5 linked regions of the Kluyveromyces lactis genome follow. The protein of the gene in region 3 binds, or shares a complex with, the protein of the main gene of each other region. Links are inferred from orthologs where the notes say so. Each region holds a gene or a part of one and is shown on either strand. Other genes may lie near its edges. The genes, in order: QCR9, CYTB, RIP1, QCR8 and BCS1.

What was found.
Region 1: the proteins of RIP1 (region 3) and QCR9 are in contact, whole or in part, in a crystal structure (PDB 4PD4), measured with the Saccharomyces cerevisiae proteins. The link is inferred for Kluyveromyces lactis from reciprocal best matches to the Saccharomyces cerevisiae genes RIP1 and QCR9. Residues at the interface, in NP_010890.3 of Saccharomyces cerevisiae: Asp48, Asp50, Lys51, Arg53, Ser54, Tyr55, Tyr57, Phe58, Gly61, Gly64, Leu65, Leu66, Ser68, Ala69, Lys72, Ser73, Glu76; in NP_011699.1 of Saccharomyces cerevisiae: Ser2, Phe3, Ser4, Tyr7, Lys8, Arg13, Asn14, Ala15, Val16, Ile21, Phe22, Gly24, Ala25, Phe26, Phe28, Gln29.
Region 2: the proteins of RIP1 (region 3) and CYTB are in contact, whole or in part, in a cryo-EM structure (PDB 8EC0), measured with the Saccharomyces cerevisiae proteins. The link is inferred for Kluyveromyces lactis from reciprocal best matches to the Saccharomyces cerevisiae genes RIP1 and COB. Residues at the interface, in NP_010890.3 of Saccharomyces cerevisiae: Ile79, Met82, Thr83, Ala84, Thr85, Val88, Val108, Val109, Lys110, Gln112, Gly113, Lys114, Pro115, Ile158, Thr160, His161, Leu162, Gly163, Cys164, Val165, Ile167, Phe177, Pro179, Cys180, His181, Gly182, Ser183, His184, Gly194, Pro195; in NP_009315.1 of Saccharomyces cerevisiae: Trp142, Thr145, Val146, Asn149, Leu150, Trp164, Trp166, Gly167, Gly168, Phe169, Ser170, Val171, Ser172, Pro174, Arg178, Pro262, Leu263, Thr265, Pro266, Ala267, Ile269, Tyr279, Leu282, Arg283, Ile285, Pro286, Asp287, Lys288, Cys342, His343.
Region 4: the proteins of RIP1 (region 3) and QCR8 are in contact, whole or in part, in a cryo-EM structure (PDB 8ABI), measured with the Yarrowia lipolytica proteins. The link is inferred for Kluyveromyces lactis from reciprocal best matches to the Saccharomyces cerevisiae genes RIP1 and QCR8. Residues at the interface, in XP_499709.1 of Yarrowia lipolytica: Thr42, Ile45, Pro46, Phe48, Thr49, Pro50, Tyr51, Leu52, Lys53, Arg56, Asn61, Arg62, Ser65, Tyr66; in XP_504875.1 of Yarrowia lipolytica: Ala23, Tyr25, Thr26, Ile27, Phe30, Ala31, Ala32, Arg33, Ala36.
Region 5: the proteins of RIP1 (region 3) and BCS1 are in contact, whole or in part, in a cryo-EM structure (PDB 9GS2), measured with the Saccharomyces cerevisiae proteins. The link is inferred for Kluyveromyces lactis from reciprocal best matches to the Saccharomyces cerevisiae genes RIP1 and BCS1. Residues at the interface, in NP_010890.3 of Saccharomyces cerevisiae: Asp133, Met134, Ser135, Asp139, Pro140, Gln141, Thr142, Ala144, Asp145, Arg146, Val147, Lys148, Tyr205; in NP_010663.1 of Saccharomyces cerevisiae: Phe209, Gly210, Arg214, Asn297, Thr299, Arg302, His337.

The regions. Positions count from the first base shown.
Region 1 is NC_006042.1:1,408,283-1,412,619, forward strand, and holds QCR9 (ubiquinol--cytochrome-c reductase subunit 9), read right to left. Parts: upstream 1,780-4,337; coding exon 1,711-1,779; intron 1,212-1,710; coding exon 1,005-1,211; downstream 1-1,004. Other genes in the region: protein translocase subunit TIM13, read left to right, coding at 8-313; E3 ubiquitin-protein ligase UBR1, read right to left, coding at 2,174-4,337. UniProt on the Saccharomyces cerevisiae protein: Component of the ubiquinol-cytochrome c oxidoreductase, a multisubunit transmembrane complex that is part of the mitochondrial electron transport chain which drives oxidative phosphorylation.
Region 2 is NC_006077.1:19,424-24,213, reverse strand, and holds CYTB (apocytochrome b), read left to right. Parts: upstream 1-2,386; coding exon 2,387-3,547; downstream 3,548-4,790. UniProt on the Saccharomyces cerevisiae protein: Component of the ubiquinol-cytochrome c oxidoreductase, a multisubunit transmembrane complex that is part of the mitochondrial electron transport chain which drives oxidative phosphorylation.
Region 3 is NC_006041.1:2,012,410-2,016,434, forward strand, and holds RIP1 (ubiquinol--cytochrome-c reductase catalytic subunit RIP1), read left to right. Parts: upstream 1-1,762; coding exon 1,763-2,404; downstream 2,405-4,025. Other genes in the region: putative E3 ubiquitin-protein ligase HUL4, read left to right, coding at 1-1,011; KLLA0_E22595g (uncharacterized protein), read right to left, coding at 3,529-4,025. UniProt on the Saccharomyces cerevisiae protein: Component of the ubiquinol-cytochrome c oxidoreductase, a multisubunit transmembrane complex that is part of the mitochondrial electron transport chain which drives oxidative phosphorylation.
Region 4 is NC_006037.1:609,237-612,988, forward strand, and holds QCR8 (ubiquinol--cytochrome-c reductase subunit 8), read left to right. Parts: upstream 1-1,818; coding exon 1,819-2,103; downstream 2,104-3,752. Other genes in the region: EBP2 (Ebp2p), read left to right, coding at 1-138; ERG20 (bifunctional (2E,6E)-farnesyl diphosphate synthase/dimethylallyltranstransferase), read left to right, coding at 474-1,523; protein kinase NNK1, read left to right, coding at 2,879-3,752. UniProt on the Saccharomyces cerevisiae protein: Component of the ubiquinol-cytochrome c oxidoreductase, a multisubunit transmembrane complex that is part of the mitochondrial electron transport chain which drives oxidative phosphorylation.
Region 5 is NC_006041.1:225,405-230,271, forward strand, and holds BCS1 (bifunctional AAA family ATPase chaperone/translocase BCS1), read right to left. Parts: upstream 2,985-4,867; coding exon 1,644-2,984; downstream 1-1,643. Other genes in the region: PHO92 (mRNA-binding phosphate metabolism regulator), read right to left, coding at 9-803; KLLA0_E02465g (uncharacterized protein), read left to right, coding at 1,260-1,517; IAH1 (isoamyl acetate-hydrolyzing esterase), read right to left, coding at 3,248-3,973; ARH1 (NADPH-adrenodoxin reductase), read left to right, coding at 4,490-4,867.

The sequences.
Region 1 (4,337 bases), on a different chromosome or scaffold from region 3:
TTAAGATATGGCTTTAACTTCGATCTTTGGTGGTAGCTCTTCATCATCTGGTACCCCAGCCACATCCAGTCCTAGCGATGTCAAGACCCAACTTAAATCTCAAATCTCTCAAGAATTAGCCATCGCCAATGCTACCGAGTTAGTTAACAAAGTCACTGAGAACTGTTTTGAGAAATGTCTGAATGCTCCATATGCTGCTTCTCAAGATAACTGCGTCGACCAATGTTTGGCTAAATATATGAGAAGTTGGAATGCCATTTCAAAGGCTTACATTAACAGAATTCAGCAAGCTTCGGTTAACGGTGAAATCTAAGGGGCGCAACTTTTGAGATAAAAGAAGTTATTTAATGCTCTGATTCATTACAAGCTACATGTATATAGATTTGTATAATGTTATATTCGCGTCTTACGTATAATCATACATTATGAATGCTATTTCATACCCGTCGAATAAATTCAGGTATATATATATAAACAAAAGTACGGTATTGGTACACAAATAATGGGTAATTCTTTTTTATTATCGTATAGACATGATTAATACACAGAAACAGCACAAACAATACATTGTATTTAAATACAATTGAGCCGCATATGTGATTGATTGATGAGATTTCAAATAAGTGAGTTGAAAATAAATAGGAGTAGAGGGAAAAACAGCTAACAACAAATAAGATGAACATCAATGCGCAGATATTCACGCTTTATGGTCATATATGTTTTACCCTTTTTATCTCTTGAATCGAGTGAGATTCCGATAGCGAAAAGGATGAATGTTATGAAAATCTGAGAACATCATTCCAAAGTTGATGTCCTAGGCCTGGTAGACGTATGGAGTGCCGGATAGATAAATGTTTCCCGACAGTAGCGTATCCACATTTTTAAAATATGTTTTGAAGTGACGGTATATTCTAAGAAGTAAAATAATTGAACAAAAGCATCAATGAAAAGACACTTAAAAGTATAATGATGAGAAATGATATAATTCAAATGTCAAAAGAAACTTATTCATCGTCTTCTTCATCTTCTTCACCACCGTTCATGATACCACCCTTGATATCTTTCCATAACTTACCTTTGTTGTGGTTTTCGTACCAAGAGGTCACACCAGTATCGAAGGCAGCTTGGAAAACGAAGGCAGAGGCGAACACGGTACCAACGAAAACAGAGTTTCTCTTAAAGACAGTTTTGTACAGAGTAGAGGCGAAAGACTGTGATAATTAAGTTGTTCAGAAAAATAATTGTTAGTAATATGATCTAATATTTCATGTAGTCAATCCGCAATGATCTGGGAAAACAGCCGCTGGATTTTGCCCAGAAGGTGTCCATTCTTCACTTGTTTGATGTAACTGATATACATGCGATAAGCCATGGTCGTACTTCGAAGATAAATGTAGTATTGAGACTGCCTTTCTATTATATGGAGATATCGGTCATACCTCCAGGGAACCTTAACAGGCATCGGAAACACCACGGGATATGCAGACATTCAGCTTTGGAAGTATATTTCACTAATAATAGTATAATTGTACATTAGCATCTGCTCAATGTAATTTGCATCGTGTTTACAAACAGTTTTTTCAGTTCCCAGTTTTCGGTTTCTCAATTCCAGAAGTCAAATAAGACATCTACGCCAAAATCAATGTTTTCAGATCCAGAAAAGACGCATATCATATGTATTATCCATGACTAATCAAATCATTAACATACCATTTCTAAAACGGGAGTTCTGGTTTCTGTTGAGCTGAACTTTTTCTTATTAAACCTTGTCTTTGGCATCAGTCGAAGTTAGCTTTCCGTTTTATACATTTATCCAGTTTTTCAAAAATTTGAAGAAAAGTTCCGTACTCGGATATAATTGGGTCGTATGGTATGATATCCAGAAGTAATCACGTGCAAAAGTCTAGTACTGGGAGTACTTTCAACATGAATTATCAAAGGGTGGGACAGAGTCAGGCTACAATAAAAGATTCTGTAAGATATTGGACGGCATAGTATCCTGTGGTCAGTCCACTCCACATATTGCAGATTTATGCAAAACTAGTAAAAATATCTTATATCGATGTGTGCATAAACGAAATAACGTGCTATTCTATATATATTTGGTACATTGAAGTTGTGAATGGTGCCATAAGGTTAAGGCAATTTTGAGGTGTGACGAGCAAAAAGTTATTCATTCTACGTTATTTAACTCGTTGAAATCAAAACCTTCTTCTGCAGAACTGTATTCCGTGTCTTGATCTTCCGAAGCGTTGTTTTCGTGCTCTTCGTCCTCACCATCTTCATTGCCGTCACTTTGATCATTCAGTTCAAAGTGCTCTCTATTTCTATCTGCACGGCCGAAGAATCCATTCATTGCATTTCCTTGCAGTTGTTCAATGATATCTTCTGTAGTCGGAATGTCTGCGCCATCACCTTGCATACCCCCTCTCATGTTTTGAACAAACTCGAAAAAATCATGTATGTCACCTCTTTCGGTTGGTAATCTTATAGGGATATCTCCACCGAATGGTCCACCATTGATGCGTAATTCAACATCAGGCTGTCTAAACCTTAGATCTGGACGATCATCATTCCCAAACTCATCATCGTTCATAAGGTCCTCGTCACTGCTCTCCCCACCAGCGTTGAAAGCAGCACCAGGTCTCCAAAACATGTTCCTCGTAAATGTTCGGTTATTTGCCATCGCAACCCTGAATTCGTCCCCCATTACTCGGCTGATATAACCGGGGATACCATTTGAAATCCAAAGACGAGTTAAATGTTCATATCTAGCATGATTTAATACTGTTAGATCACCTCGTTCGATAGCGTTTCTTCCTGATTCACCGTGTGAGTTCAAATAAGGGGCCGAAATGTTGACGGTACAGTCCGGTCTACTTAAATAGAGGCACACTTGACTGATATTAGGAATTAAAAACAACCCACTGGAACCATGGGAACACCTTTCCATGTGCTTTTGCATTTCAAGGCCATCTGTACGTGCGTGAATCTTGACACCACATATCAAACAAATTTTATAATCAAGTCTGTTGACAGTATTTCTAATTTTTTGATCATTCTCTTCACGCAAAGTAATGTTTTTATTATTAGTCACATAAGTATTCAAATGAGTTGCTAAATCGGTTAATTTGATGATACTGCAGTACTCATGTGGAGCATTAACCAAGGAGCTTTCAGGGGAGAGAGGAGAATGCGAATTCATCAACAAGTCATAAAAATCAGTCTGGAGCAAAAATCTTATCAAAAGATGGAAATGTTTTTCTTTGCTTTCGGAAGTAAGGCTACCACTCAGCACATCTTTTTCATTAAAATCTAAATCATCCCCCCCTGTCATAAATTGCTTTAAGGCCTTCAGCAAGATAATTGATCTCCTTAGCGTAGGTAGCAATTCAGAAATTAAGAAGGTATAGAACAAATCCAAGGTGTGCTTTTCAACTTGATCACCAAATCCAGCTCCTAATATCGTTGTTTTCAATACAATTGAAAATTCAGAGGAGTCAAGGCAAGTCTGGGCTCGAAGCTCGGATTCATATTTCCTATAGAAAGACCCAAAGTCTTTTGTCAGACCCTTCAAACGCTCCACGAGTACTTCCTGTAAACAATCCTTAAAGGAAAGTCTAGACCTTAATACCGTTTCAACAACTCGGAAAAACGGATAACTTGGTAAATTGCTGCTACGAATATCTTCATAGAATTTGAGTACATTCTCTTCAGTATGCTTAGTTAATCGTGTGTAGACAGCCAAGGACTTGAGAATGTTCTGCAGTGTCTTAAATTTCTGTTCTTCACCTGATAAGAGTGTTCCAAAAGGATCTTTATTAAGCCTGGACAACATCTCTAGCATACAGATGTTGTTAGAAAACTGAAGAGAGAGAGTTAAAAACCTATCCTGGATCCAAGTAGGATCATTGCGATTTAACCGTAGACCATTGTTAGAATCTTTGAGAGATAGTATTATTTTTCCAACTTCGTCGTTACATTCAGAGCTGTACTCAGAAAAAGTTAGCAATAAAGATTCATCCAAGCCTCCAGTCAATTTCTGTTGCAAAAGCCTATCACCAGATTGAAGTTTAACTGTATCGACAGGTATGACTGAATTACAATACGTTTGACATAATGGGCAGATGAAGAGATCTGTACTATACCGCTTCTTATCAATATAATGTTTGAAACAGCGATAGTGCACGGCATGATTACAAGATACAAGAACCTTCTGTGTAGACTCATGCATTAGTTGACTAGCTCCGTTTTCTTTTTTCTTGTAAAACAAATCTGTGTTATAAGTGGCGAGGTGTTCGTTATTGTCAAAGCCATGCCATGGTTTGTATATTTCC
Region 2 (4,790 bases), on a different chromosome or scaffold from region 3:
TATATATATTCTAGATATTAATAATATAATTATTATTATTATTAATATATTATAATATATATTATATATATTAATATAGTATAAATATTGTATATAATATATTGTATTATATAATTTCCCTAATTATTTATCCCCCCGCGGTCTCTCACCCAACGAATGTATGGGTGATGAGCCGCGGGGAATAATATGTATTATTATTAATAGATATATATAATAATTATATATAATATAGGATATGATATAATATGACAATAATCGCCCCCGATATTTATAATAAATATCGGGGCGGTATACAATTATATAATTATATAATTATATATTATATATATTATAAAAAATAAATATATAATATATATAAAAGATATATATATATATATATATATCCCGCCATTAGTCTTAAGACTAATGGCGGGAATTTTATATTTAATTATATTCAACTCTGCAAATGCAATATCATTCATAGGAATTTAATATATAAATATTTATATATTTAAATAAATATTATAATTATTATTATATATTTATTAATTTATTAGTATTCCGCCATATATTTATTATAATAAATATATGGCGGGATTAATATCCCCGCCATTATCTAATAGATAATGGCGGGAATTATACTTCTCATATATATTATATATTTAATATATAAAGATCTATAAATAAATATATACCCCGCCATTATTACCAATATTGGTAATAATGGCGGGTATAGCCTTATATTCATAATATTATTTCTACGAAATAATTATAAAAATATATATATAATATTATATATCATTATATCCATTCCCGCCATATATACCTAATAGGTATATATGGCGGGGATAAGATTATTATTTTATATGTATAAAATATATATAAATATATATAAATATTATTATTCCCCGCGGTTCATCACCCTACATTCGTTGGGTGAGAGACCGCGGGGGGGGCTAAAATTAAATAAAGAATTATATATATATTCTTAATAATATTAATTATTAAAATATATATAAATATATATAATAATTTTTTTAATAATAAATATTGATATTATTATTTATACTCCGCCATAATATATCCCTAAGGGATATATTATGGCGGGAATATCTTACCCCCCTTTTAAGGGGGGGGTTTATAGATATTATATCTATATTAATAGTAACCAAATACCTCGTATAGGGCTTTGATATAAATTTTTATATAATAATATTATTTATATAAAAATAATAATAAATTAGTATTTCGCCATTAGTCATACGACTAATGGCGGGAGTTTATATATTTACATAATCCCGCCATATTGCCAATATTGGCAATATGGCGGGGTATTCTATTATTATATATACCCTTTTATTACATATTATATAATCTCCCAATTCCTTATGGGTTGAAATACGAGGATTATATATATATATATATTTTTGTATATTATATATTAATATATTATATAATAAAATTAATAAATAATGATTACCCCGCGGCTCACAACCTAGGTTGTGAGCCCCGGGGAAGAAATTACAATTCGCCTTTTAGGCATATATTTTCATAATATATATATATATATTTTTATATATTCTATATATATAAAATAATAAATTAGTTCCCTTAAATAGGGATAATTTAGCGAGATAGTTTTAATTAACTTACCCCCCGCGGCACACCCAACCCTACGGTTGGGTGAGGCCGCGGGGGGAATCTATATATAAGTTAATAGTAGTTATATTAGCTCAATTGGTAGAGCGTTCGTTTTGTAATCGAAAGGTTTGGAGTTCGAATCTCTAATATAACAGACCTTATCGTCTAATGGTTACGACATCATCTCTTCATGTTGAAAATATCGGTTCAATTCCGATTAAGGTTATATATTTTATAATCCCTTCTCCCCCGCGACATGACCCTCATAAAGGGTCATGTCGCGGGGGCTGGATATATTACCAAGTATATCCGTGGGATATATTAGAAGTAATATATAATTATAAAATAATAATCAATATACATATATATTATATATGTATCAAATTACTTGATAATAATATATTTATTATATTATTATAATAATTATTATATATATATTATTATATATATAATACAATAATATTATATTTATAAAATATTTATTTATCTCCCGCGAAATTATAAATAATTTCGCGGGGATATTCATATAAATAATATATATAAATTATACATAATTATATTATTATAATTATATATTTATCCCTTTCTCCCGTGGCATCACCCGACCCTCATAAAGGGTCGGGTGATCCGCGGGGGTCATATTTATATAAGGGCCCCGCGGCTCCTCCACGACGTTCGTCGTGGGGAATATATAATATTTATATTATATATTTAATATATATTATATTTATATATATATTTAAAAATATAATAATTCAAATAAAATATGTCATTTAGAAAATCTAATATTTATTTAAATTTATTAAATAGTTATATGATTGATTCACCACAACCTTCATCAATTAATTATTGATGAAATTTAGGATCATTATTAGGATTATGTTTAGTAATTCAAATTTGTACAGGTATTTTTTTAGCTATGCATTATTCATCTAATATTGAATTAGCATTCTCAGCTGTTGAACATATTATGAGAGATGTTCAAGGAGGATGATTTATTAGATATGCTCATGCTAATGGTGCATCATTCTTCTTTATTTGTATGTATATTCATATTGGTAAAGGTTTATATTATGGTTCATATAGAGCTCCTAGAACATTAGTATGAAATGTTGGTGTTATTATTTTTGTATTAACAATGGCTGCTGCTTTCTTAGGATACTGTTGTGTATATGGACAAATGAGTCATTGAGGTGCTACAGTTATTACTAATTTATTCTCAGCTATTCCATTTATTGGTAATGATATTGTATCATGATTATGAGGTGGATTCTCAGTTTCTAATCCTACTATTCAAAGATTCTTCGCTTTCCATTATTTAGTACCATTTATTATTGCTGCATTTGTAATTATGCATTTTATGGCATTACATACACATGGTTCATCAAATCCTTTAGGTGTTACAGGTAATTTAGATAGATTACCAATGCATGGTTACTTTATTTTTAAAGATTTAATTACTGTATTTGTATTCTTATTCTTCTTCTCATTATTTGTATTCTTCTCACCTAATACAATGGGACATCCAGATAACTATATTCCTGGTAATCCATTAGTTACACCTGCATCTATTGTACCAGAATGATATTTATTACCATTCTATGCAATTTTAAGATCAGTACCTGATAAATTATTAGGAGTATTAGCTATGTTTGGTGCTATTTTAATTTTATTAGTATTACCTATTACAGATAGAAGTGTTATTAGAGGTAACGCATTTAAAGTATTCTCTAAATTCTTCTTCTTCTTATTTATTGCTAACTTTGTATTATTAGGCCACTTAGGAGAATGTCATGTAGAGCCTCCTTTTGTTGTAATGGGACAAATTGCTACTGTAATTTATTTTGCATACTTCTTAGTTATTGTACCAGTTGTATCAACAATTGAAAATGTATTATTCTATGTAGGTAGAAAAAATGCAAAGTAATTATTAAAGGTAATAATTTAACTAATCAATATTCTTTTTTATCTATTTTTAATAATAATCAAAAAAGATATTATTCTCAAAATATTAATAATGATTAAATTTAAATCAAAATAAGCCCCACAAATGCGGCATCACCCAACCCTTATAAAGGGTTGGGTGTACCGCGTGGGGAAGAATATTATAAATGTTATAATGAAGTAAAATCAAAACATAATTAACCCCGCGGCTCATCCTCTGGTAATCCCAGAGGATGAGACCGCGGGGGATTTATTATTTGAATATTTAGATTTAGAAGCCCCGCAAATGCGGCATCATCCAACCCTCATAAAGGGTTGGATGAGCCGCGTGGGGAAGAGTAATAGTTTAAAATTAAAAAAAGTATTATTTAATTATGAAAATAATATAAACCCCGCGGCTCGTCCCCGGGGTATCCCGGGGACGAGTCCGCGGGGAAAATATTTTAATTTTAAAAATGTTAAATAGTAATTAATAATAAAATTATTTCAATATTCTTTTTTTTATTTAATATATATATTATATTAAATAAAATTTATAAATTATATCTCTCCCCCCCCCGCGGTATACATATAAAGTATACCGCGGGATTACATATTACATATAATATATAATTTTATTCCTATGGTATATAATAATAATTAATTATATTTTTATTATATTAAAAATATTCCAATGTTTTTAATTCCGCGAACCCTGATTTTTATCAGGGTGAATATTATTATAATAATAGTCCCAAAGGAGTAATATTAATATATAGAAGGTAGAATATATGAAAAAACATTATTATATATATTTTTCCCGGGGTTTATATTATTTTATAATTCCCCGCGGTCTCGTTTCCGGGATATCCCGGAAACGAGCCGCGGGGTATGTAACTTTAAAATAAATTATTATTAATTAAATAATATTAAATAATATTATTTAATATTTTCCCCGCGGTCTCCTAGTAATCCCTTTAAAGGGGAGGAGCCGCGGGGTTACTAAAACATATATAATATATTATATAATTATAATATATAATTTTATATATTAATATTATCAGTATAATTAGAAAATCACGTTTTCTCGCGGATCATAATGATCCGCGGGATTATATACTCCTTCCTTTCTATGATATACTACGCTTATAGTATTATAAAAATAACTTCCCGATTAGCATGCTATGCTAATCGGGAAATATATCTATAATTAATTACCCAGCCATAATATGCTATATTATGGCTGG
Region 3 (4,025 bases):
AAAAAATCCCTAAGAGTGGAGTTCTCGAATGAGCCTGGAATCGATGCTGGCGGTTTAAAGAAAGAATGGTTCCTTTTATTGACTAGGGAATTGTTTCATCCAAACCATGGACTATTTCAATACGTGGAAGAAAGCCGATTATCTTGGTTTGCATATGGGAACACCGGTCTTAAGCTTCATGGAGAGAACAACAATGAACTATACTATTTGTTTGGAGTAGTGTTAGGTCTTGCAATATATAACAGTACTATATTGGACTTACATTTTGCGAGGGCCATGTACAAGAAACTATGCAATGAGCGGATCACTTTTGAAGATTATGAGGAGTTGTACCCTGAGACAGCAAGAAATTTAAAGAAAATGTTGAGTTATTCGGAACTAGATTTTAGTGATATATTTGGATTGTCGTTTGAGACCACGTATTACGATGTAGCCAGTGGTATCAACGTCACGAAACCGTTATGTGACGGAGGAGAATCAATCCCAGTAACCTCGGAGAATAAGACAGAGTTTGTTGAAAGGTGGGTAAATTTTTATATGAATGAGGGGGTCTCATCGAGTTTTAGTGCATTCCAATCCGGGTTTACAAGAGTCATCGGGGATGGTTTGGCTTTCCCGATGTTCAAAAGTTGTGAAGTAGAAAGGCTCATCTGTGGCAGCATAGAACAAGACATGGATTTCGAACAACTTCGCGCTGTGACGAAATACCAAGGCGGATTCCATAACCAAACCCCGGTAGTGGAATGGCTATGGGAAATACTACCACAATTATCCCATGAACAGCAACGTCAATTTCTCCATTTCGTGACTGGGAGTGACAGAGTTCCAGTGACGGGACTTGCGACGCTTCCGTTCAAGGTAACCCGCACAACGTCCGGATCACATGATCAGTTGCCCACTGCCCATACCTGTTTCAACGAACTCTGCTTGTACGAATATGAGTCACGTGATACTCTTCTTCTGCGATTGGTGACTGCCCTCGAAATGTATGAGGGTTATGGGTTTAAATAATGTCAGCAACAAACATACATTAATATAATCACTACAAACGAACCAATCATATCGTGAACCAGGCTTTACAGAAAAACCTGCTTCCCTTGAATAACCAGAAAACACAAGGAAATGGACACTTACAGCTACTATGTGAAAGCCGTTAAATGCGAAGCGTTTTACTGACACTAGGCCCAAAGGCCCTAGTGTCAGTTATCATTTCCACCAAGAAAATCTTCCTATACTTGACCATTTACGCAAATAAAATTGTATACTTGTAAATTGGAAAATAATAACCACACCAGGAAGTTCTGCCTCGTCCCAGCTCATTTACACTGTCCATTCCTGTCTGGTCGAATTATATCTTGTTTAATCCTTTAGCGCTTCTTACTATTGGCTTTTTTCCCAATCTGAAATTTTTCTTTGTTTTTTTTTTTTTTGCTTCCTTCCGCACTTATTAAGCTGCAATGGCTTCTGTTTAATATGGATAGAGATAATTTGATAATTTCTCTGAATAAAATAAAATAGAAAAAGATTTAGTACAATCATTTTATTATTACTTTCAGTTCCAACAACATTTTTGCATTGATATATATATTTTATAATCTGGCTTGGTGATTCATATCTGTGTATATATTTATTGATACTCCGAGAGTGCTTTGCTGTTGTGATTAAAGTCGATATCATAGAAACGATTTCTCCGAAATAAGAACGGGAAATTAGTACGAATAATACACTCTAGCGATATATCCATAACTAACTAATATCAAAAATGTTGGGTTTAAGAAACGGTTTGAAGACTGGTTTGAAGTCTGTTGCTCCAGCCAGATTAATTTCTACTTCTGCAGTTGCTGCCAAGTCTACTTACAGAACTCCAGATTTCGGAGACTATATCAAGGAGAATAACGATGCTGACAAAGGTCGTTCTTATGCTTACTTTATGGTTGGTTCTTTAGGTTTGTTGTCCTCTGCCGGTGCCAAATCCACCGTTGAAACTTTCATCGCTTCTATGTCTGCATCTGCAGATGTTTTGGCTATGGCTAAGGTCGAAGTCAACTTGGCTGCTATTCCAGAAGGTAAAAATGTCGTTGTGAAATGGCAAGGTAAGCCAGTTTTCATCAGACACAGAACCGACCATGAGATTCAAGAAGCTAACAGTGTTGATATGTCAGCTTTGAAGGATCCTCAAACTGATTCTGACAGAGTTCAAAAGCCAGAATGGTTAGTCATGTTGGGTATCTGTACTCATTTGGGTTGTGTTCCTATCGGTGAATCTGGTGATTTCGGTGGTTGGTTCTGTCCATGTCACGGTTCCCATTACGATATCTCCGGTAGAATCAGAAAGGGTCCAGCTCCATTGAACTTGGAAATCCCTCAATATGAATTCGATGGTGAAAACTTGATTGTCGGTTAAGCGCAGAAGGAAAGCTAAAAAAAGATTATATTATGTTGATAAATTGTTGAAATAGGCTACCTTTTTTTGCTATTTCTCAAATTTAACTCTCTTCCTTTTTCTCTTTCTCTTTGTCCTTCTCACTCCAGCTTTCACTAATAAAATTCTTTATTCCCATGTTGATGTCTCCTACTCCCCCCATGTATTTTCCAAGTAGGATTCACAACCAAGGTCAATATCTTTTATGCTAAAGTTTGTCATATTGGAATCGTGTAAGCTCGTTTTTTCACGTTCCATCATCACTACCCGATTTATTATTATTTATTCATACAAACATTTTTGAAACCACAACTACCCGTGCCCCCATAGCTCAAGCAAACTAAAAGGATAGCAAGCATGAAATGCTTTTGAAGCATTGTTCAATTGTATGTCATCACTTTTCCTTTTAACTGCACTGAGAAACAATCGCATTAATACCTGAATGACCACATCAGGCTACTACCGTGATTGAAACCCTTTTATTATATTCCAAAATCTTTGAAATAGTCCTGCTCTACCCGATGCATGGTTATACCTACAATCTGAATCGCTTAATGTTGTATCGCCTTCTTTTCCATAAAAGGTCAGACACGTATTTAAAGAAAAGCGGGAGTATTGGATTAATCTGTCAATAGTAACTTTAACCTTTGATTTCCCTTTTTCAACGAGATTTAGGCCTAGGAACAATGCATTGGTATTGCAATGGGATGTCATTATTTCGCTTTTAATTTGCCTATTTTCCCGCTAATCACGAGAAAAATAAATTCAATTAATCAATCCTATACTCTTAAGATGTCTCAAAAACTGTTAACCCAAACCATAAAAACCTAAAAAAATCTCTTCCAACCAAAATATTTTACCATAAGAATAGAGAAATTGACGAACAATTAATTTAAATTGAGATTACCTTTCTCTCTAGGGATTCAAATTTTTTATCATATTAAGGTTTGTTTCCTGTTATTTATATACTCTGTTAACGATGCCAAGATTATATATTATATGTATATGTATATTCCCCACATACTCTTTTAAAAGAAATGAACAAATTTAATCCATTTGAACGCCGAAAATTGGGAACCCTTGAAAAATCCAGTGCTGTTTGTAGACTAAAGTTCTGGGTTAGCTTCTAACAAGCTTTCAAGATCATCTGGAATTCGCTGCCAATTTTCTCGATCCCATTCGGTTAGCATATCACACATCTCTTTTCTTATTTTGTTGATATCCCTTTTCTGACAATTGCACCCGTCATTGACACTATCAGGAGGCAGCAATGGTTCTGAATCAAGTCCAGGGTATGATATCAAAGATGAAGTCAACGAAGATCTGACCATAACTTTCTTCTTCGTTTCACCGTTCTTCCTCTTTGGAAGGGATATCTTTTCATGCTGCTCAATTAAATCTACGCAATAATCTGGCAAATTCTTCGGTTTGTAATCGTTGACAAGCTTTATCCTCCAGTAAACTGACCAATGAAGTTCGCCATATTCAGGTATATTCCGTCTTCTACCAAAATTTGGCACGTAAACGTTTTTCCATTCACACTTTTCGTTTTCGATTCTTATTCCTATTGGAATCAATTCAGCAATCCACCAAAAAATCACCC
Region 4 (3,752 bases), on a different chromosome or scaffold from region 3:
TACGGTTCAGGTGGTTTGAAACGTTACAAGAGAAAGAACGATGCCCAATCCTCCGCTGAAATGCCAGAATTCTCCCAAAGAAAGATGAAGGGTAAGGCACCACGTCCAGGCAAGTCCAAGCGTTCAAGAAGACACTGAGAGTAACTAATAGAGGAGCAAGAACGTACATGTACAATAGCATTACCACCACGAGATACTTCTTCCTCCATAATGTATGTAAATTCATGTATACTGCAAGTATATGTATTACGTTAAAGAAATTTTTACCCGGACATGAATAATACAAACGTGATTTGACTATCTCGTTTAAAGCCGTTTCGAAATCACGAACTTTGGAACATTCCACCATACTGATTGCGTTGAAGTATATTAACAGGTTATGTACCATTCAGCTGAGTTCAGCAGGCAATTCAATTGAGGAACGTTCTACCATTGGTACCTGAAACGAATAGACAACGAACCTGATAGATAGAATGAGTGATAACAGAGCCCAGTTTTTGGAAGTGTTCCCATCATTAGTACAAGAGCTTAGAGACATCTTGGCCGGGTACGGTATGCCCGAAGAAGCCATCGAATGGTACGAAAAATCATTGAACTACAACACCCCAGGTGGTAAGTTGAACCGTGGTCTTTCTGTCGTTGACACATACGCGCTTTTGAAAGGTTACAAGTCAGTGAGCGAACTATCTGCAGAAGAGTACAAGAAGGTTGCCATCCTTGGTTGGTGTATTGAACTGTTGCAAGCGTACTTCTTGGTTGCTGATGACATGATGGACCAATCGATCACAAGAAGAGGACAACCATGTTGGTACAAAGTGGAAAACGTCGGCGACATTGCGATCAACGATGCATTCATGTTGGAAGGTGCCATCTACTGTCTGTTGAAGAAACACTTCAGAACAGAGCCATACTACGTCGATCTATTGGAATTGTTCCATGACGTTACTTTTCAAACCGAATTGGGTCAGTTGTTGGATTTGATCACTGCACCAGAGGACAAAGTCGACTTATCCAAGTTCTCTTTGGAAAAGCATTCCTTCATCGTTATCTTCAAGACTGCATACTACTCTTTCTACTTAGCAGTGGCACTGGCCATGTTTGCTGCCGGTATTACCGACTCAAAGGACTTGAAACAGGCCAGCGACGTATTGATCCCATTGGGAGAATATTTCCAAATCCAAGACGATTTCTTGGATTGTTTCGGTAAACCAGAAGATATCGGTAAGATTGGTACCGATATCCAAGACAACAAATGTTCTTGGGTCATCAACGTTGCATTGAAGAATGCTACAAAAGAACAAAGAGATATCTTGGACGAAAACTACGGTAGAAAGGATTCTGAAAAGGAACAAAAATGTAGAGCTGTATTCAACGAATTGAACATCCAAGACATCTACCACAAGTACGAAGAAGAAACCGCTTCCAACTTAAGAGAGAAAATCGCTAACATCGACGAATCCCGTGGGTTCAAGGCCGAAGTTCTAACCTTGTTCTTGAACAAAATATACCACAGAAAGAAGTAGGTAAAGCATATATTATCTAACCATTTTAGATCACGTGCAACTAAATAAATAAAAGTAAGTTTCACTACCAGTATCACTGTATACGAACCAATAATACTACGTTTCGGCCTTTTCGCTTCTAAAAGACGAAGTCTTGAAAATCTTCCAGCGAGGGAAAAAGCTTTATATATAAGAAATAAGCTTTAAACCTCTACTTATTCAGATATTCAAATGATGCAAAGATGGAAAACTATTATACATAGTTTAGTCTCTGACTCAGTATCCGCAAGACCAAGAATTAAAATATTAAGACGAAATGGGTGGTCCACATGCTAAGGCTTACATGGGCTGGTGGGGTAGTATAGGTTCCCCAGCCCAAAAGGGTATTACTACATACACTGTTTCTCCATATGCTCAAAAGCCATTGAACAACATCTTCCACAACGCTGTTTTTAACACATTTAGAAGAGTTAAGAGCCAAATTTTGTACATGGCTCTTCCAGCTGCTTTGTACTGGGCTTGGTGGGTCAACTGCAGAGACTACAACGCTTACTTGTACACTAAGGCCGGTAGAGAAGAATTAGAAAGAGTTAACGTTTAAACAATGTTATTACAACACTAGACTAGTTCCTTTCTTTCTTCTGTCCAGGTTTAAAAGCTTACATGGAAAAAGAGGTGCGGCAGCACCCTTTTGACACTTTTATCAACATTCAAGATATATTTCTCACGTCACAAGAACATTTTTTATCATGTCAGGCCATCGAAAAGAGTTTCAGTATTATTAGATACTATTGAAAAGGAGAGAGCGAGTGGAAGTTCACATCCTCGGTTTTTAATTCTCTCTTTTCGGGTTTGGCTCAGTACCGTATTTATTGGAGGTTTTCATCAAGTGGTTACTCCCCTCAAATATATCTTCTATACTTCACTGTTTATACGAATTTGAAAAACTACTTTATTATGAATACTTACATCTGCGTGTCAAGGGCGTGATCGTCGTGCTCATATGTCGACGATCGGTGTGCTTGCCTGTTTTACATGTATATATATATATAGATGGATAAGTTTCTCCACTAATGAAAGTCACGTGACGTTATTACTTTCCCCCCGTAAAGGGTATTTAATCCAATAAAACGGATTTTAACGAGTTTCCAATATCAAAACATTAGTCGATTCTCACTGTTTAAAGGGTAAACAGGAAACATCGCTATCGACTGGTACTCAACGATTTTATTGTTACGAGACAAGCGAGATATTGAAGATAAGAAACTTATCGTCTTCTTTTCTTTCTATTCTTTTTTTCCTGGTTCTTCAAGGAAAGAATCGATACTCTAGTGTGACTCGATCCACACTCGCACTCATTTTGTTTTCACCAGGAGATGTCTTCGAGCTATAATGTTGGCTCAGGAATGAAACGGTCTAATACCCCAACGTTGTATGAACGAGATTTCCCTAGTGAGGTGGTTTCGGTTGGATCATTACAGTCTTTGACTCAAAGAGAGGATAATGAAAGAGACTCTTTCAAACTACGACATAAGAATGACTCTTATAATCATGCGGTAAATTTTAACATCGGCTCTTCTAGAACTAGTGAATCTTATCAAGAATCCAGTGATTATGAAGAGCAGCTTTCCTTTAAGCCAAGAAGGATGCGTAAAGGTGATACGAATTCTACGCTAACCAATACAAATCTCAGTAACAACGACAACGATAACAGTACTAATAATAGTAATAGTCGTTTGACTAGGGTTTACTCAGAAACAGAGAAAGCGAATTTTCACGATGTGACTGGTGTTCGTATGTATGATGATATGAAGTATAGACCAATGCATTTCCAAAATAACAGCAATGACAGCGATGATAGAGTTTCGATTGCACAAGATCCGATCCCTATTGATATTGAACCAAAACCAGACGTTGGAGGGTACCGTCAGGCAAGACATCAGCATGTAATAAGGCGTAGATTCTCGTCTGGAGAATCCCCCTTGAGATCTCCTTACTTCAACGAACGTTATAACCAGGGCCTGCCCTTGTTCAATGATATGCAAGATGAGTACATCCCAGATTTCGATTTTGCTGAGGCCGTTTCGCAGTGGCAAAGCTCAGATGATACCAATATGCTTTCACGTTTCAATACATGGGAACCAGACTATCTTGGTAAGCCACAGAAGGAATCAGTATTGAAACTAGACGATTTGCATTCCCAAGTGGCTCCTATCCCTTTACCAAATGTTAAAAATGAGCAACAGCCTC
Region 5 (4,867 bases), about 1.8 Mb from region 3:
AACAAGATTTAAAATAGTAGAGACGATTTAGTATATGAGTTGTGGAAAATAGCAACAATTTCGTGTCCAATATTGAACGGAACAATTTCTGTATCACGTCCATGGCCCAATGATTTCTGTTCACCATCAGTTTCCCAAACCAAATGATTGAATCTACGCACTTTCACATCGTTCACATACCACCATTTTATCTGGAATAAATGTGGGAAAGTGTACGAATCAGTATGTGTTTCCCAAATATTGGCGCGAGGATCATTTTCTATGAGATCCGAGCACATCTCTGCAATGCCACAGAATTTACCAGATTTGTTAACAGAAAATAATAAGAAAAGTTTAGCACCTGGTGCAAGACTATGGTATTCTCTCTCAAGTCTTCTGTTCCCTTTGCGTGTCGAAGACCATACACTATTTTGTAGTGCAAGTTTAACGTTTCTTTCGTTGAAAGACTTGATAACAAAAAATTTAGAACCATGTGGGATCCCATACACCGACTCACGGTTCTCTATTTTCGAATAATCAGTAGTGTACTCTTTCAGCGGCGATAAAGACTCCATTATGGTAGAAGCTGTGGAGAAAAAACCATCCATGTTTGACATTAGACTTTCTATGAAACTAGATCCGCCGCTTGTATCAAAGGATTCTTCATCATTGAAACCTTTAGGAACTATCTTTTCCTGAGTATCAGAACGGTCTTTATACCAAGCATTACCGTTACTGGCATTATTTTTATCATCAAAATCAAACTTCGATGAGGCATTCAGCAGGAACAATTCCGTCCATAGATCCATTTGAATATTACACATTTTTCACACTGAACCTAAAAAGTTAATATATTCTTCTCAACTTAATATTGCCCAACACAACCTTCAGAATTCTTACTTATGGCAACTCAATTCAAAAATTACATTAATCTCACTTGATGTTTACTTGCGCGTCTCCTCGTTTTATAAGAGTTTATGTCAGTTTCGAAACTTAACCAAAAAAATCTAAACTGTCATATCTGAGACCAGTCCTTATCATTTTTCCGCTGATTACATTAAAGTTTCGAAGAAAAAAACACAGGAGACATCAGAAAACGCTATAGCAGCAGATTTGCCTACATAGAAAGATAATGATAGTTTAATAGATATGGATATAGATAAGTGATAGTAGGAGAGAGATGTTTACTTTTATTAGAGTTCAATTGTACCTAGGAGACGAATAGTTTTAGGTTACACAGGGAAGTGTTGTTCTTGACAGTTTTATGTGCAATTTTCTGCATGAGCGAGCATCTTCGAAGGATTGTAGTTGACGGGCTACTGGGCCGAATTAGAGACAACACATTAGGAACCTTAGATGAGCCAAGTGAGGCTGAGGAGACCTTAATTGGATGTCTGTTTGCTGATCTTATTCGGAAGCTAATGGATGAAGCGAAGCTACAGGCAGAAAAGGATGGCACAAGAACGATATCCGTTGGCCATTTACGTGATGCAAAAGATTTGATACTCGAGTCGTCACCTGATAACAATGAGGATTGAAAGAGATTAAGATGGATTTCTCTTTCATCTCTATCAGTTCCTTTTCAAGCCTATATATATCGTGTTGGGTGCTTGTATAGAAGTGTGTATGTACATATATATTTGAAGGTTACGGATTATTTACAGTCAAAAGACATGGTTTGGATAGCGTAAGGATTCTACCATCAGTACTGCATTCTTTGGGTTTTGTTTGTTGAAGACAAACAAACCTTGTAGTTGTGCCGTAGAGATTGGTGTGTCCAGTTCAACAGCTTTTTGAACAAACTGCTCGCATAGTTCTTTCTCTTCTGGATAAAATCTTAAGAACATTTGTTTGATTTGGTATTCGGTAGCATTTCCAACGTATGTTTTATAATCGATTCTACCTGGTCTCATCACGGCAGGATCTAGTTTTTCAGGGTGGTTGGTCGTCATGAATGTAATTATCTCTTCACTGGATGCGACACCGTCTAATGCGTTCAGAAGGCCGCTAAAAGTGACTCCGTTAACGAAACCTTCATCGTTCTTGCTTCTTTTAACAAATGCTGCGTCGATATCTTCTAACAACATTAAACTTCTTTCTGGAAGGTTGTTCATAAGATAGTTTAATCTATCATCAGTAAGATTGGGGTCCGCAAGGTTCATAATGCAGATATTGTAGTCCAACTCACCAGCCAATGCTTGAATGAATGATGTCTTACCACTTCCCGGTGGGCCGTATAAAAGATATCCTCTTCTATACGGGATACCACGATCGTAGTACCATTTACCATTTTGTAAGAAATCATTTACATCATTTAAGATGCTCTCCTTCAATCCGTTATCCAAGATAACACTCTTTAAGTTTCTTTTAGCCTTTGGTTGACCAAACGGTCTCCATTCGTTAGCCCAAGAGGTGTAGATCACTGTTTTACCTGTTTGAGCTTTCACCGCCAAGTCTTTAGCCTCCATCAACAATTCTTGGAACAAATGTCTATCACGATATAATGTGGTTAGCTTTACAGTTTCAAATGGTGTACCATTTGTAATGTTTGCTATTTGCCCCGATCTTTCTCGTTTAATCAGCATGAATGCGCCTTTATATCTTATCAAGTGATTTCCGACACCTGGAACAAAATTCACTTCGGTACTCACAGAACCGTTATTATGCTGTAAATAATTGGTCTCCACTGACAAGTGTCTTGATGACCTATGGGGATATCTTGACATCCATTGCAAGAACCATAAGTACGATTTATCTTTACTTGGAATTTCAAGGTCCACGATCAATTGATGATAAGCCAATCTGCTTGTTGATATCACTCCCCTTCTCAGTAATGCAAGAGATGTACCTAAAACCATTAGTCCACCACCAGCGGCAAAGTATGGGTTTCCTTCAATAAACTGGTTAAATAAACCCTTAGCCATTCCAGTGACAGATCCGTCAGAATCATTTCTCACCTTTTCAAAATCTATAGGAGGAAGTCCACCCGTACCGTTACTCGCCATCTTGCAGTTCTCTAAATTATCTTTGGACAGTGTTTAACTTTCCTAGAATGTACTGGATCAAACTTCTACTTATGTTGCAAGTTTTCATATACTTCAAATTTGTCTGGTTGATAGCTCATCTCTTGATATTCATTGTGGACACTTTTTTTTTCAATTGTAATAAGGTTCAAGAAAGATTTACTTTGTGCAAAGAGGAAATCGAGGCCTCGGATTTCTATGATCTATCAGTCAATACACTAAACTTACTTAGTTTTCTTATTTAGTTAGATTAATGCATCTAAAGTAGACCCATTCGATTCAACGAGTCTCCAATTTGGCAATTTATACTCGACATTTTCGGGTGAGTATTCAGGATAGCGTTTGTTAACGGCTTTCAGCACTTCATTGAACATCACCTCGTAACCTTTGCCGGTGAAATGCAACCCATCACATAAAAGCTCTGGCCATGTATCGCCCTGGTCTTTGAACGCTTCGTACAGGTTCACGAATGCAACATCTTCTTCACGAGCAGCTTCTTCCGCAGCATCGCTATATTGTTTATACAATTCATTTGAACGAACGTAACCCTTATCAACCTCTGGCTTCTTCAACGAGTACCAGTGGTCTTGGTCGTGCAGAGCAGGGCCTACCACAACAACTTTAATTCCTTTATTTTTCATCATCTGAATCAGCTTGATGGTGTTTTCTTTGAATTCAGGTAGTGGCACGTTTTGTTGCTCATGTTGACAGGAATCGTTCGAACCGAAGAACAACGTACTGATAGCCACATCTTGTTCTTGCTCCAAAATTTTTGGCAGGAGTTTCAGTGCCCACCGAGAATTGTATCCGCTAAAACCTCTTTGAACAATATCGAGCTTTCTGGTGTATGCATTGACCAATGCCGCTCCAAGTGAGAATTGATCAGTCTGGTCCCCATTCATTCTTGTATTGAATGAGAACTCGGTGATGGAATCTCCAAATAATAAGAACTTTTGATATGTTAGAGCCATTATTTCCTCTGTATATGTGCGTCTTTCTGCTTAACCTTGTTTACTGCTTTTTCAATGCTCGGTGTTGTGAAGATGGAGTGATTCTCTATTAAACTCCATCTCTCTTTCCCTTTCTATATATATATATATCTGTGGTGGGTTGCATCGAGAGACAAGAATACGTAATTGGTGTTACTCGAAGTTACCCTGGAAAGCGACGGTTTAACGATCAACGTAGTTCACTGATACCGTTGGACAAGGTCGGCTAATATATTCCGATCAGAACCATGACGGCAGTCGGTCCTACAAGACAAATTATAGTAGGCAACAGGAATGCTGCAACAGTCTTTTCCTTACATTTCTCTGTCTTATTTTACGTTAGCTTCTTTTAGTCATTTCTGGTGTGTATGTCTTGTCAGACAATTAATAAGTTTGACCGAGGTTACAGTACATGTATAGATCAAGAAAACGGCAAACCTCTACGTACCTGGCTGAAACTGCATTCAATTGGAGTAGCACTATCATAATAAAAGGATCATGGTTCGAAAATACGTATCCATCATCGGGTCAGGTCCGTCGGGGTTTTACACCGCTCATCATCTGCTACAAAATGTTAAGGTACCTTTAGAAGTGACTATATGGGAAAGGCTACCAGTGCCATTCGGACTTTCTAGGTATGGTGTTGCGCCTGATCATCCTAACGTTAAGAACTGTGAGGACACGTTTACTGATACTGTCAAAGATGTGATGGGGAAGGATTCAATACATAAGTTCAATTTTATCGGAAATTGTGAAGTCGGAAAAGATATAGAACTTTCGAAGCTGCTAAGCAAGCAGGATGCTGTCGTGTTAAGCTATGGATGTGCCACTGATAGGAAATTAGGTATTCCTGGGGAAAATGACACTACTGGTGTA